Linked DNA regions of Bombyx mori. The protein of the gene in region 2 interacts with the protein of the main gene of each other region in a pairwise test. Links are inferred from orthologs where the notes say so. Each region holds a gene or a part of one and is shown on either strand. Other genes may lie near its edges. The genes, in order: protein abnormal spindle, calmodulin and centrosome-associated protein CEP250.

Region 1 (4,232 bases), on a different chromosome or scaffold from region 2:
TTCTTTTTAATAAGTAATGAAGGCACTTTCCATAGATCGGGCTCGGCGCGAATGGATTTTTTGGACCAAGTCTGTCTATTGTTAGAGCTATGGGAAATACCTGATTTATCGTTAAGTTTGTCGAAGGTACGGTTTATCGTGAATGTGGTCATTTGTTTGTCAGTTTTATCTAACACCTGAGTATCGGAGAGATGGATGCTTTCTTCTGGGATAGACTGTAAGGGCGGTGTTATTGACCGGGGCGGGGATCTCCCGTCCGCTCTAAGGTCAGACTGCCAAGGACTATGCTCCAAAGCATTCAATAAATTTCTGTCATGTTCCCGCTGTTGGAACTCCTTGAATAGAGCTTGCCTACACATCTTAGGCTGCTCTTTCAATAAGTGCTGCAAGGATTTCTGTTCTACTCGCAACTGATTAAAGTTTTGTTCAAACGGTGTATTAGGCGACTCTTTTGTGTACGTATCGGAGCATAGTTTGCCATCGTCGATGATTTCATGAGTGTCATTATTGGTTTTCGGCATGAACTTTCTCTCGGTTGAAAAACGTTGAGGGAAAAACGACAAGTCACTGATGCGCGAGAATTCTGTGTTTATCGTGAAGTTTGGACTGTTTAGTTCTTTTGGTGACGAGGTATTGGGCTGTTTTTTCTCTACCATGTTCGGCGTTTCGGTGAACTGTGAGTCTGCTTGAGTATAGTGATGATTAACTGTGAGCCACCTCTTAGGTTGGGCCGATGTGATGCTTATAATGGAATGCATTTCATTCTCCTTATTGTTCTGCAAGTCTAGGCTATCATCAAAGTCACTGTCGGAATTTACACTAAGCACTATTTTAGGACCTTTGTCCAACTTAACGACTTTAGCAGGTAATGTCTTCAAAGGAGAAAATGTTAATTTATCAAATATATCAGAAATTGAAGTATTGGGATGCATTTGCCTATTAGATGGCTTTAAAACGTTTTGAGGTACATTATATCTACTGTCAGTGGATGCATAAGTTTTATCATAAGTATCTTGCAAGTTGGATTTTCTTATGTTCGAAAAGATTTCGGAAGTGTTGAAATTAAAATCTATACTGTTCGGAGAGTCAAAGGGACATTGCTCCATGTGAGAATTCAAGGAATGCTCATTTAAAACAGTATTATTCTCTTTTTCAGATACAGTCTGAATATTACGTTGAGTGGAATGTTTTATATTCACCCAATCTTTACTTTTTATGGTTTTATTAATTTTTTCAGTTTTCTTTTTGTAAATTGCAACTGGCGATTTTTTTGATGACTTTCTTTTCATTTTACCTGGTGATATTTTAAACCCTTTTGATTGGTTTGTCTTCCCTTTGACATTCTGTGGGCAACAAAAATTTAATTTTATGAGAATATTTAATAATACATTTTTTACAGTTAAATCCTATGAATGATATTGCCTTTTTTATTATCAAAATATTATAATACATATTTGTTTGGAAATTATTAAGTCTCATCAGGTTTGATGATTGGCGAAAACTAATAGAAACATAATATAATACCTCATATCGTTATTGCCATTCCAGTACGCATGAGGTGTCAAGATACTACAATGCATCCATTTTTAGGTCATTCATTATTAAACCATTCCGAATCAAATTCCTTATTTTATGAATATGAATAGTGTTTGAATAAACTGGGAAATATCGCGACTGCTTTAACTCTTTTGCTACTATTGGTGACTCTTGCCACAAAATGCTGCATGTACACTATGGGTGACTGGGCTGAAAAATACCATCTATACACGACAGGTCATGTGCGCACTTTCAGCACAGAGCTTGTTTCTTGCGAAACGCTTTGCAGCAAGGCTCCCCATGGCGAAAAGGTTAAATAGTTTACTTAATATAAAAGCGATTGTGATTTTATTGATAGTGACATCATTATTTTAGACTCTTATTTACATAACATATCCAATTAACGTCCACAATTTACAAAAAAAAAAAATCAAAAGAGTAGTACTAATTGATAATAATCATTACTAACCACCACAGATTTAAGAAGAACAATGACATCATGTCTTCTATGGTTCTCATTTGTGAAATTAAGGGTTTCTCTAACAGCAGTAGGCTGGTTGGGGGTCCATACCATTGTCAATATATTACATGATTCCGGTTCCACTTCCAACCATTCTCCGGGTATATGCACAATCAGTCCTGGTGGTAGAGCTTTACCTAGAGTTATCTGTCAAAGTTAAGTTTAAAAATTTGTTAGTACTGAAAATTTATTGTGGTTTCAGCTTAAAGAACACTCTCGATACACCTGTATATGCTTGTGCTTGTTGCCATGTTGGTTTTAAGAATTTGTTTTATTCATACGTTTCGATGAATCCTAAATTCATGTATATTTCAATTTGTTGTCTTTTAATTCTAAGTTTTTCTCAAATCAAATGAAAGCTAGACCTATGGGTATTGTATTTTTCCCAGTGGGAAAACCGCTGTTTTTACTCACATGCTGTGGTTGTTTTGTTGGATTAATGACTTCCAAGTTTCTCTCACAAGTTGTACCAATGATAACATTGTCGAACACAACTTGTGGTGGTCTGGAGAACGGAGCTAACACCAAACGGGGACATTCTTCTTTGGGTGATTCTTCTGATTTACAGGCAGTACGTCGAGCCCTTTTAACATGCTCCGGGGTGTTTTCAATCTAAATTTATAAATTTCGTTAAACCCAACTATTGTTTTTGTTTAACAGAAAAAAATAGCTGTTACTTACTTCAAAATACATGTTTATCACATAGTATATTTATCAACACAATTGTTTGTAAAACTCATATTATAATTTGCCTAAGCTACAATATTTAATATTTTGTCATAAAGCAGTTATTAGAATTTATTTAACTGTTTCTTGTCGACAACTTGGTTTGAATTCAAATTTTCAAATTTTTATTTCTAAAACCAAAACCGTCATTTACAGTGTTGCCTAGTAGTAGTAGTTTTATTTTCCAAATGGAAAGGCAAAGATATCACACCATACAGTCTAATATTTTATATATATATTTTTTATGAAATACGATATTATGCAATGAAATGAAGCTGCTTAATTTAATATGAAACATGGCATGGCATGAAATGAATTGAAATGAGATGATATGATATGGGATATTTTTATGAAAAATGATAATATGGAGTGAAATGAAATTAAATGAAGTTAATTAATTTGAGACATTAATCAACTGGGATGAAATTAAATGAAATAAGATGAGATGGTATTTGATGAAGATTAAATATAATCTTAGTAAAATGGTGGTCATTTACTCAGATTTTTTCAGTGGACTTTTTGGAGGATCCCGAGAAGTTATGTCCAGCGGCTTTGTTTCATTTTCCCACATTTGGGCATTTTCACAGATATTAAACAGTTAACAAACCACCGTTATTACACATTTAAACCTGAACAAACACAAAATAGACAAAATAAAACAAATCGCACAACTTGACACCGCGCGTTCCCGCCAAAAAAACGTGTTGCCTAACATAATATGCGGTTATACCGGTCACTCACATTCGCACGAATACGCAAACCCACAAGTGTAGGACGAAATTTGCAAATGATTATGCAAAGTTTTCGCTGCATTTGTGGTTTTCCAAGCTGTGTCGGTTTTTTAACGGACATCAAAGCGCGCTAACCGCGATCCTTCGCGTAGTCTCCCACTAGTTCGTGTGACCAGTTGTGCCCACGATTGCGAAGGTAATGGACGTTTCGCCATTTTCATAGTTCGTGACGTCTACTGTGTAGCGCACCTTCCTCATGGATTGGAACAACACCAAGGTGATGGAGTTCATTGAACTCCTGCAAAATGAATCGACCATATGGGACCCTCAAAAGAAATTCCATAAAAACAGAATGTCAGTTAATCACGCCTGGGAAAGAATTGAAAACTCTTTTTCTCTTCAATGTTGTGTTGACGAATTAAAAAAGAAGAGAAATTCATGAAACATTCCTAAACAAGTGTAGGAGGAAGCGCAAACGGGTTCTCAAATTGAATACCGAACCCATTTGCACAGCCGCTAAGTTTGCGAATGAATGTCTGACAGCCCTTCAAATGCGCGCGAACATTCGTACAATGTACGAATGTTTGCGCGCATATGAGTGGCCGGCATTAGTGTCACTTTTTATTTTAAAGTGACACTATTTTATTTTGAAGTGTGGATTCGAGTCTGTTTGCAAAAACCTTTTAATTTAAATATGTACTCTATGAAAATTAATGCGA
Region 2 (4,267 bases):
TTAGTTCTATAACTCAATCACAGATGGTAGTACTGTCATCTAAACAATGGTGATGTGTTTCTTGACTTGCATAAAATCGATACTTACAATCGACAATCGATTGTTTAATAAAATTGACAATTAATTTTTTCTCTTAAAATGAGTTAAAATTTTTAATATTATAATATTATAACTTTAAAACCATCTAATCTGAAAGGATGAAATGAACATTATTTAAATATAAGGTTTTACAGTACAGAATTCGTGATTGCCCCTTTAGCTACAAAAAATCTTTTTATGGAAATGATAAATTAAAGTTATAATCTGCATGCCTTTCATTACATTCATTTTCGTTTCTATAATATCTTCTACAATGTAATAAGAATCTCTTTGTGACTAGTACTAATCTTACGGGGTTCTTACAATGAATGCTTCATAAATATTTCCGACGTGTGTTTTTAATTACATCTCATTGCACACATTGTAAATAAAAATCCTCAAATAACAGTGTCAAGCTAGGTTTTTCTTGTATTATGTATACTGGAAATATATACACGAGACGAGAACAAATATACCTAGAGCCCCAGATGCTAAAAATATTTAAGATACTAAATCGAACCTGAAGCCTTTGTTTGATTTTTCAGGGTCAATAAACACGTAAACAATAAAGCGATCATAAACAATCTACAAGTTCATATTTTTAGTCTGCTTTTACGTATCTTTAAATAAAAGAGATTACTTTGGTAGGTACTATCATAATTCAATTGTCTATATTAATTGGTAGGAAATTATGGTAATTGTTTTTTTGTTTTTTAATTTTTTATTATTTCCGGCATTCCGATTGTGTGCGAATCATACGGAAGATGATATTGCGACAAGATAGGGCAACGTTTACTTTCAGTAGGAATGCGTGTGTGGGGGCGCGGCGTCGGGAAGCCCGTGTTATCTCGTTAGCGGCGCCTGCGGGCGGCACTGCGGCGCGGATCTGGGGCAGCGGCGCTCGGGAGCGGGCACGGGCGGGCGCCGCTCTCGCTGGCGTGGGGCTCGCGGCCGCAGTGACGCATTGCAGGTGCGCGGCGGCCAATCGGCGCGCGCCGGTTCGCGCTCTACGCCGCCGCACCCGCCCCTTATAAAACCGACTATCCTTTGCAGAGCAAATTTAATCCTGTGTTGTGCGTCCCGAAACATGGACTTGGACGTTCCGAGGATAATCATTGTGTAGACCGTTTCCGCCCTGCAGCTTGCGAAACTAACCTTCTCGTGAACGAAAGACGGATATGACAGTGCGACGAATCGAGTAGTCGATTCGGAACGATTCGCGGCCGAGCTCGATCCGAACCGCGATCCCGAGTTTCTCAGCGAGGCCACTCGCGCGAGTGAGGGCGGCAGTATCGTTTCAGCCGTCGGTCCGTGCGGTCGCTTTTGCGGCGTAGTCTGTGATTTTTTAGTGTAGCTCCAGATAATCCAAGTTAATCTACAATGGTGAGTGCTATTTCTATTGAAAGGTGTCGGGAGTGCCTTCAGAAGATCACGAGGAACAGTTTCCGGGTCGTATTTCGGAGAAGTTATGCATCGGTGTTTATAGTGATGACGGCCTCCATTATATTATTGTGATGGCCGTTTTTTTTACCGCATTGCGGATTCGAGAAGTATCAGAAGGCGTAACTGAAGCCTCACAGCGAGGCTTTCGAAATAGATAAACTTCAAAGCAGTGTTGAAAGCTTTAGATTTTGCGATATTTAAAAACGAGCCTATGCAGAAACAACGGTCGCCATAATCTAATAGGTGGTGCCGGTGAAATTACGTTCTTTAATTTGCAGTAGGCCGTTAATGTCGGTTGAAATGGCGCAGGGACGTCGTTGGAAAGAAAACAAATGGCTTTGTAGTTTGGGCATATTGTCGAAAGGCCGCGGCCGCTGTTATGAGGATCGATCGCCGGGCGCAACTGTCAAACGCTCGTTGACTCATCGTCATTATCTGATATTGTACCTACGTAAAACTCTTTTCGTTAGACCGTGTTGTTGTACATAACATATCATCTGCTGTGAAATTCCATAATGGTAACTAAACTTGTCGCTTTCATCGTCGTACGGTGCCACTTATAGTAACAATCATGTAAATAAGTTTTTGTTTATCAAACCAAAACTACAGCTGTAATTCTTTTTCTTTTTTTTTTCGAAAAAGTTTAACATGCTCTTGTTATATTTTAAAAGCTGAATTCTGGTGTCTTACACCAAAATTTCCTTTGCTTGAAGTTACAGAAATTAAGAATAAATCGACGCTTGAAAGGCAAACTTGACTAAGCGACTATAACTGCTTTGTACATAAATGATAAGCAATAACCATATTCAGTGCGCAACGAAAAATAAATTTGTAGGTCTATTAAAATCATTTCAATCATACAGCTAGATTCATTAAAATAAATTTTGTTTTCAGGTATTTCAACTTTAAATTAGTCTACTGTAAAGTTCACGCATTATCGCTTAGTCACGTTTGCCTTTCAAGCTTCGATATGAATACTTGAAATCACAAGGATCGGTGTAGTCCCTATTGCCTACAGTATTACAGTTTGTTCCTGACTAAATCCCTAGCCATTATTTTTTCTATTTTATTTCAGCGGAGAATACTCATACTCGTGTTTAAAAAAATTCATTGAAAGTTTTTTGCCAGTAAAATAATGGGGATTGGGTATGTGGGGTATAATGGTGATATTTTCCCTGCAGCCATTCAAAGTTTTTGTTATGATTTATTTATTGTTCTAAGTTCGCAGATCATGGCTATGAATGTATATAAATTCATACAGAAAGAATCTGCTTTTTAATCTTATTCTAATCTTTAACTATTTTTTTACATCCATTGTTCTAGTAATAACTGTGCTACTCAATAAAATGAAGTCATGAAATGTTAGCTTGAGTATAATAAATAATAAACTGGTGGTAAACATTGATAAATGCTAAATATGCATTCTCAACTAAGGATAAACTTGGTATAATTAAGTTAATATATTATTATAACACCTAAAGTGTAAACATATGTTTAAGTTAAATATTTTTGTATATATCTGAAATTATATTTTTTTCTAATGTGTTTGAAAATCCAAGGAGTTGAGATTAATCTGAAGCTCAATTTAATTGAGTTGGGAAAAAGAAAATATGAAAGAGTTTAGCACATTCTATCATACATTATGAGAACCATTGTTAGCACCTATTGGTATAATTAATAGAGGTCTTTCAATGTGTCGAGGCTTAGCGGAGGCATTCTCATACAACTCTCCAGTTAATATGTAGGACATTGTGGGCTGTAAGCTATGTTTCTCACTACATTAGAATATCTGATAATACAAATCATGTAAAAAGGGCAATATATGTGCAATATTCTTTTCTAAAATAGCTAAGGCCAAATTATCCATATTTAAATAAATGTTCAAGTGACATGATAGTGTAATATTTACCTACTAACTACAATTGGAACTAAAATTAAGATAATAAATTCTTGTGGCCCTGTCAAATGTAGCTTAAGCGATTCTTAGGCTAACATCATTTTGGTACCCTCCGATAGTGCTTAAAGAGACTATTCACATCTAATAAAAAAGAATCCATTAAGCATGTTTATGTATTAAAATTAATTTATTAAAAAGGGAGTGATATTTCAGCTCAAATGATTATTGTCTCTAACAAGCTGAATCTAAATAATAATTCAACATTAAAAAGTGTAGTTGTATCGGAATTGTACAAAAAATGTTAATTTATGCCTCATACATTTGTGTTCCTACGTTGAATCATAACTTAGGTATTTCATACCTATTGCCTACTGTGTAGAATACAACATAGTTATATCAAGTAATATTAGTTTTATTTTTACTGTGTCAATGTGAACAAGTTAGTGACTGTGCATCACTATATTTTTTAGATTTATTTGTTTAGTTATTCATGTTATTGATAACTAAAACATAGTTAAATTAAAAATATATTGCTCTTAGTACAGTAGTATCCCATTTAAGCGGCCGTGAATTCGAGATTGGACATACATGGAGCTTCTTGATTTTCCTGGAAAAAAACTGGCTCTTAGCAATGTGTCTATATTTGAATTTTGCTTGGCACTTGCTTTTCGCCCACAGACCATGACTTGACTAATCATCAAACTTTCGGCCCACAACAACCAAATTTTTTTATTATTATTGCTTAGATGGGTGGACGAGCTCACAGCCCACCTGGCGTTAAGTAGTTACTGGAGCCCATAGACATCCACAACGTAAATGCGCCACCCACCTTGAGATATAAGTTCTAAG
Region 3 (3,656 bases), on a different chromosome or scaffold from region 2:
CTTCTAACCTAACTGGAGCGTGAACGTGACTGAATACTCACGTGCGGGGGCTGCGGGGGTCGCGGAGGGGGGGCGCCGCTGCTGCACGGGACTGTAAATATATTCGTCTTTATTGATGCAGTGTGCTTATTTTGATGAAATTAAAAGTACTTTTACAATCTAATCTCGTGTTTTTATTGTCAATAATACTTAATGCGAGATTAAACCATAAAGATATAAGTATGTACGAGTCGCGAATATCGAAGATAATTTAGACAAACGACCATACGACCCTCCTTACAGGAGTGGCTGTCATTATCGTTTATGGACACGCATGGCAATGCCTAACGATATTTATTCAAAAGATTAATTGAAGACATGAGCGGATGAAGGGGTTTAGTACCATTTTTTAAATTTTATCAGTTTTACATTGAATAAAGGTGTTATGTACCTATAAACCATGTTAGACCTTAAAACTTCGGGTTTAAAGGCTAGTTTTAGAAATTGCATGTAATAAAGGAGTTATCTACGAAGAAACTTTGATTTGATTTGAAAAAGTACAAGTAACAAAAGTTCATTGCCCGTTTTCTCAAAACTAACAAACTATCATATCCCCTTCATCCACTAACATCTTCAATTTAATATAAAATTGAAATACTTAATTAATTTTTTAATTGAAATAAAGTTGCAGATGGGGACATTCGTCACGCAATATATAATTAAATTTTTTAACTCGGGTCTCTGGGTGAGTTGCAGTAACCACGTTGTTATGATGATATAAGATGGGTCTTCCTTTAGTCATTATTTAACTACCAACCCAACTTTAAAAAAAAACCATACAAAGGTTTTTAAATTTAAATTCAATTTTGTATGCATCAACATGCACGGCAAACCACTGTTCAAAATATAAGGTTACTTTAGAATCTATATATTAACACGTAAAGTAAAAACTTTGTACCCCTTATAACGAAAATTGCGCGGACGGAGGAGTATGAAATTTCCCACACTTATATAAAATATAGAGAAGGAGTGCAGAATGTTAATATTTTTTTTAAATTATGCATAAAAAATACTTTAAATCAATAAAAAAACATTATACAAATTACATGTATTTGACACACGCACACGCATGCATAATACTATTTGTTTATTGCCAAGCTTTTCTTAATGCTTGTACTTACAGGAAAAATTTGTCGCGGATCATCTCCCAATTAAATTAATCATAAGCAATGAATGAAATGTATTCAAATCTTAGCTGTATATATTTTTTTATTTTTGATGTTAATGCACTGTCGATTGCACCTATAATTGAGGTGACATCAGCCATGAACTTTTGTCAATGTTTTGTATTGATGATCACTTTGTTGGTGCAACTTAATAAATAAATAAATAAATAAATAGTCTGTGGTCAAATTGAGAATAGAGTAATATACTTTTTTTTATTGTCTAAAGTGTAGTCTTGGCGAAATCTTTGATTATAGAAGCACCTTTGACAATAACATCATAATAGTACCTATACAAACATATAATTTAAATTAATTATAGTCGAATTTCGGCTATCAAGGGACCACTAGTTCTTACAATTACATATGGGAGTTGCTAAGACATGTAGAGACTACTATGAGCAGCTGTGGGTTCGTGTGTGCGTGCGTGCGGGGGCGTGTGTGCGTTGCTGCGGGTGGGTGCGTGCGTGCGGGTGCGTGCGTGCGTGCGGGTGCGTGCGTGCGTGCGGGTGAGTGCGTGCGTGTACGTACGTGTCGAGCAGCAGCGCGGCGGCGGCGGAGACGCGCGCGTTTCGGCGACGCACCAGGTACTGCAGCCGCACGGCGCCCACCACCGCCCACACGGCGCACCTGTACCCACATGGACTCTGTAGCCACCACCACGTCTGACTGCCCTCCGCGTACTGACGCCATCACGTGCGCATGCTTGACGTTGCGTGTATTATACCGTAGCGGTCATGGTAGCATACATGGCCGATAACAATCAGCAGCACAGACAAGTGATAACAGTCAGAACGAAAGGCAGAATATTGGAAATGATATATCAGTGTCTCACGTTTCCTGCTTAATCATCACCCTCCAACTTCCAATCGAAATATATTCCTCTCTAAGTTCTTCACCCGACGTCGATTTGAAAGTGCACAATTTCATTACGAGAATTGCAGCGAATTACAGCAATACTGATTTTGTGAGCTCCATTGATTACCATTGTGTTAGGTAAAGAATGTAATCTATGGCAATACTGCCAGACTACTTCCGCCATTAAAACAAGTCACACGCAGAGCTCATGTCGTTTTATTATAAAATATAGTTATGTTACAGCCCGGCTATCCTATAACTTCATACATTGCTTATCCATTGATTATCGTTACCATGACGTCACATCCGATCATAAAGTCCTAGGCATTTTTTACGACTTCAAGTGAAACCAATACAGTATCATTTCCCACTTCAAGTAAATTTACAGGATTTTTTTGAAGTGGTCCTTCCATCGAAGGGACTGAATAAAACTTACTTGAACCGTTCCTTGCCAGTGCTGACCCGGGCGGCGCCGGACGAGGGCAGCCGCAGCGTCCTCTCGAGCTGGACGTAGCCGTGCAGTGTCCGCTGAAGGTACCGCTTCTGCCAGATCAGAGCTTTACGGATGCTCTCCAGGCGGATACAACGACTGTGGAGACAGCGGATCTGAAATATCAGTCCGAGTTCGTTGAGATCGTTTTTTACTGACTGGACTCGTATACTAACTTTGCTAAGCCTAAATAGTTTGGGTATAATTTGTCTTACACAGAAAAAAAGTTTTATATTATATTAATATGACACAATAACAAACTAGTTATATGTGCGTGTCTCTATGTACATTTTTACATAAAATAAACGTTTATTATTTTATAGTGGTCCGCTCCGGCTCCGCTCGGGTCTTTAACAAAAATTTCAACGATATTTTTTTAAATAAAAGAACACTTATTGCGGCATAACTATAATAGTTAGACATATGCTGTCCCGACACTTTTTGTAAATAATAATGTGTTCTACAAAGTCCGTAGTACATTTTTTTATTCTATCTTCGATAGTTTTCGCAGGGCACGCGATGTAAAGAATATTTTATATAATTTTTTTACACCTTGGGTTACATTATTGTAGTTCTAGTAAGGATCCCTACTTTTTTTCCACAAATATTATAGGTAGCCTATGTCAAGATTTTTTTAAATCGATTCAGAACTTTCGGAGTCTATTCAATGCAAACAAACAAACAAATCTTTCCTCTTTATAATATTATAGTAAGAAGTATAGATTTACAGCCGCTTTTATTTAAGCGTCCTAAATATTTATATATTTGTCGCACATGTTCCGTAATGAAGAGACTTTGCACCTTCGAGCGGAAGACAGATTACAAGCGATAAATAGGTATTCACGTCGCCCACAATAACAACTTTTTGATGTTCACATCAGTTCAGAACATAAAAAAATCTTAACTAGGTATCTGTCAATTTATTCTCGATCAAAAATAGAACACGATTTGATGGTGTCATGATATTTTTGGAATTTATACGCATGAATTCCGCGGAAATTTCATTATTTTTTTATAATACATCTTTGAAACAATGAAAACGATTTAGTTAAACAACAAAATAAAATCATGGAACAAGTTAAAAACGAAAATTTCAAGCTCCCGAG

What was found.
Region 1: the proteins of calmodulin (region 2) and protein abnormal spindle interact in a two-hybrid assay, tested with the Drosophila melanogaster proteins (2 studies listed by BioGRID). The link is inferred for Bombyx mori from reciprocal best matches to the Drosophila melanogaster genes Cam and asp.
Region 3: the proteins of calmodulin (region 2) and centrosome-associated protein CEP250 interact in a two-hybrid assay, tested with the Drosophila melanogaster proteins (2 studies listed by BioGRID). The link is inferred for Bombyx mori from reciprocal best matches to the Drosophila melanogaster genes Cam and Plp.

The regions. Positions count from the first base shown.
Region 1 is NC_085123.1:5,077,831-5,082,062, reverse strand, and holds the start of protein abnormal spindle, read right to left. Parts: upstream 2,955-4,232; 5' UTR 2,750-2,954; coding exon 2,738-2,749; intron 2,669-2,737; coding exon 2,471-2,668; intron 2,204-2,470; coding exon 2,006-2,203; intron 1,344-2,005; coding exon 1-1,343. UniProt on the Drosophila melanogaster protein: Required to maintain the structure of the centrosomal microtubule organizing center (MTOC) during mitosis. May have a preferential role in regulating neurogenesis. Required for germ cell mitosis and oocyte differentiation.
Region 2 is NC_085129.1:643,830-648,096, forward strand, and holds the start of calmodulin, read left to right. Parts: upstream 1-1,379; 5' UTR 1,380-1,458; coding exon 1,459-1,461; exon of another isoform or gene 1,462-2,036; coding exon of another isoform or gene 2,037-2,039; intron 2,040-4,267. UniProt on the Drosophila melanogaster protein: Calmodulin mediates the control of a large number of enzymes, ion channels and other proteins by Ca(2+). Among the enzymes to be stimulated by the calmodulin-Ca(2+) complex are a number of protein kinases and phosphatases.
Region 3 is NC_085109.1:14,329,764-14,333,419, reverse strand, and holds part of centrosome-associated protein CEP250, read right to left. Parts: coding exon of another isoform or gene 3,619-3,656; exon of another isoform or gene 3,415-3,618; intron 2,667-3,414; coding exon 2,497-2,666; intron 1,833-2,496; coding exon 1,734-1,832; intron 92-1,733; coding exon 42-91; intron 1-41. Other genes in the region: uncharacterized protein LOC101737907, read left to right, coding at 3,619-3,656.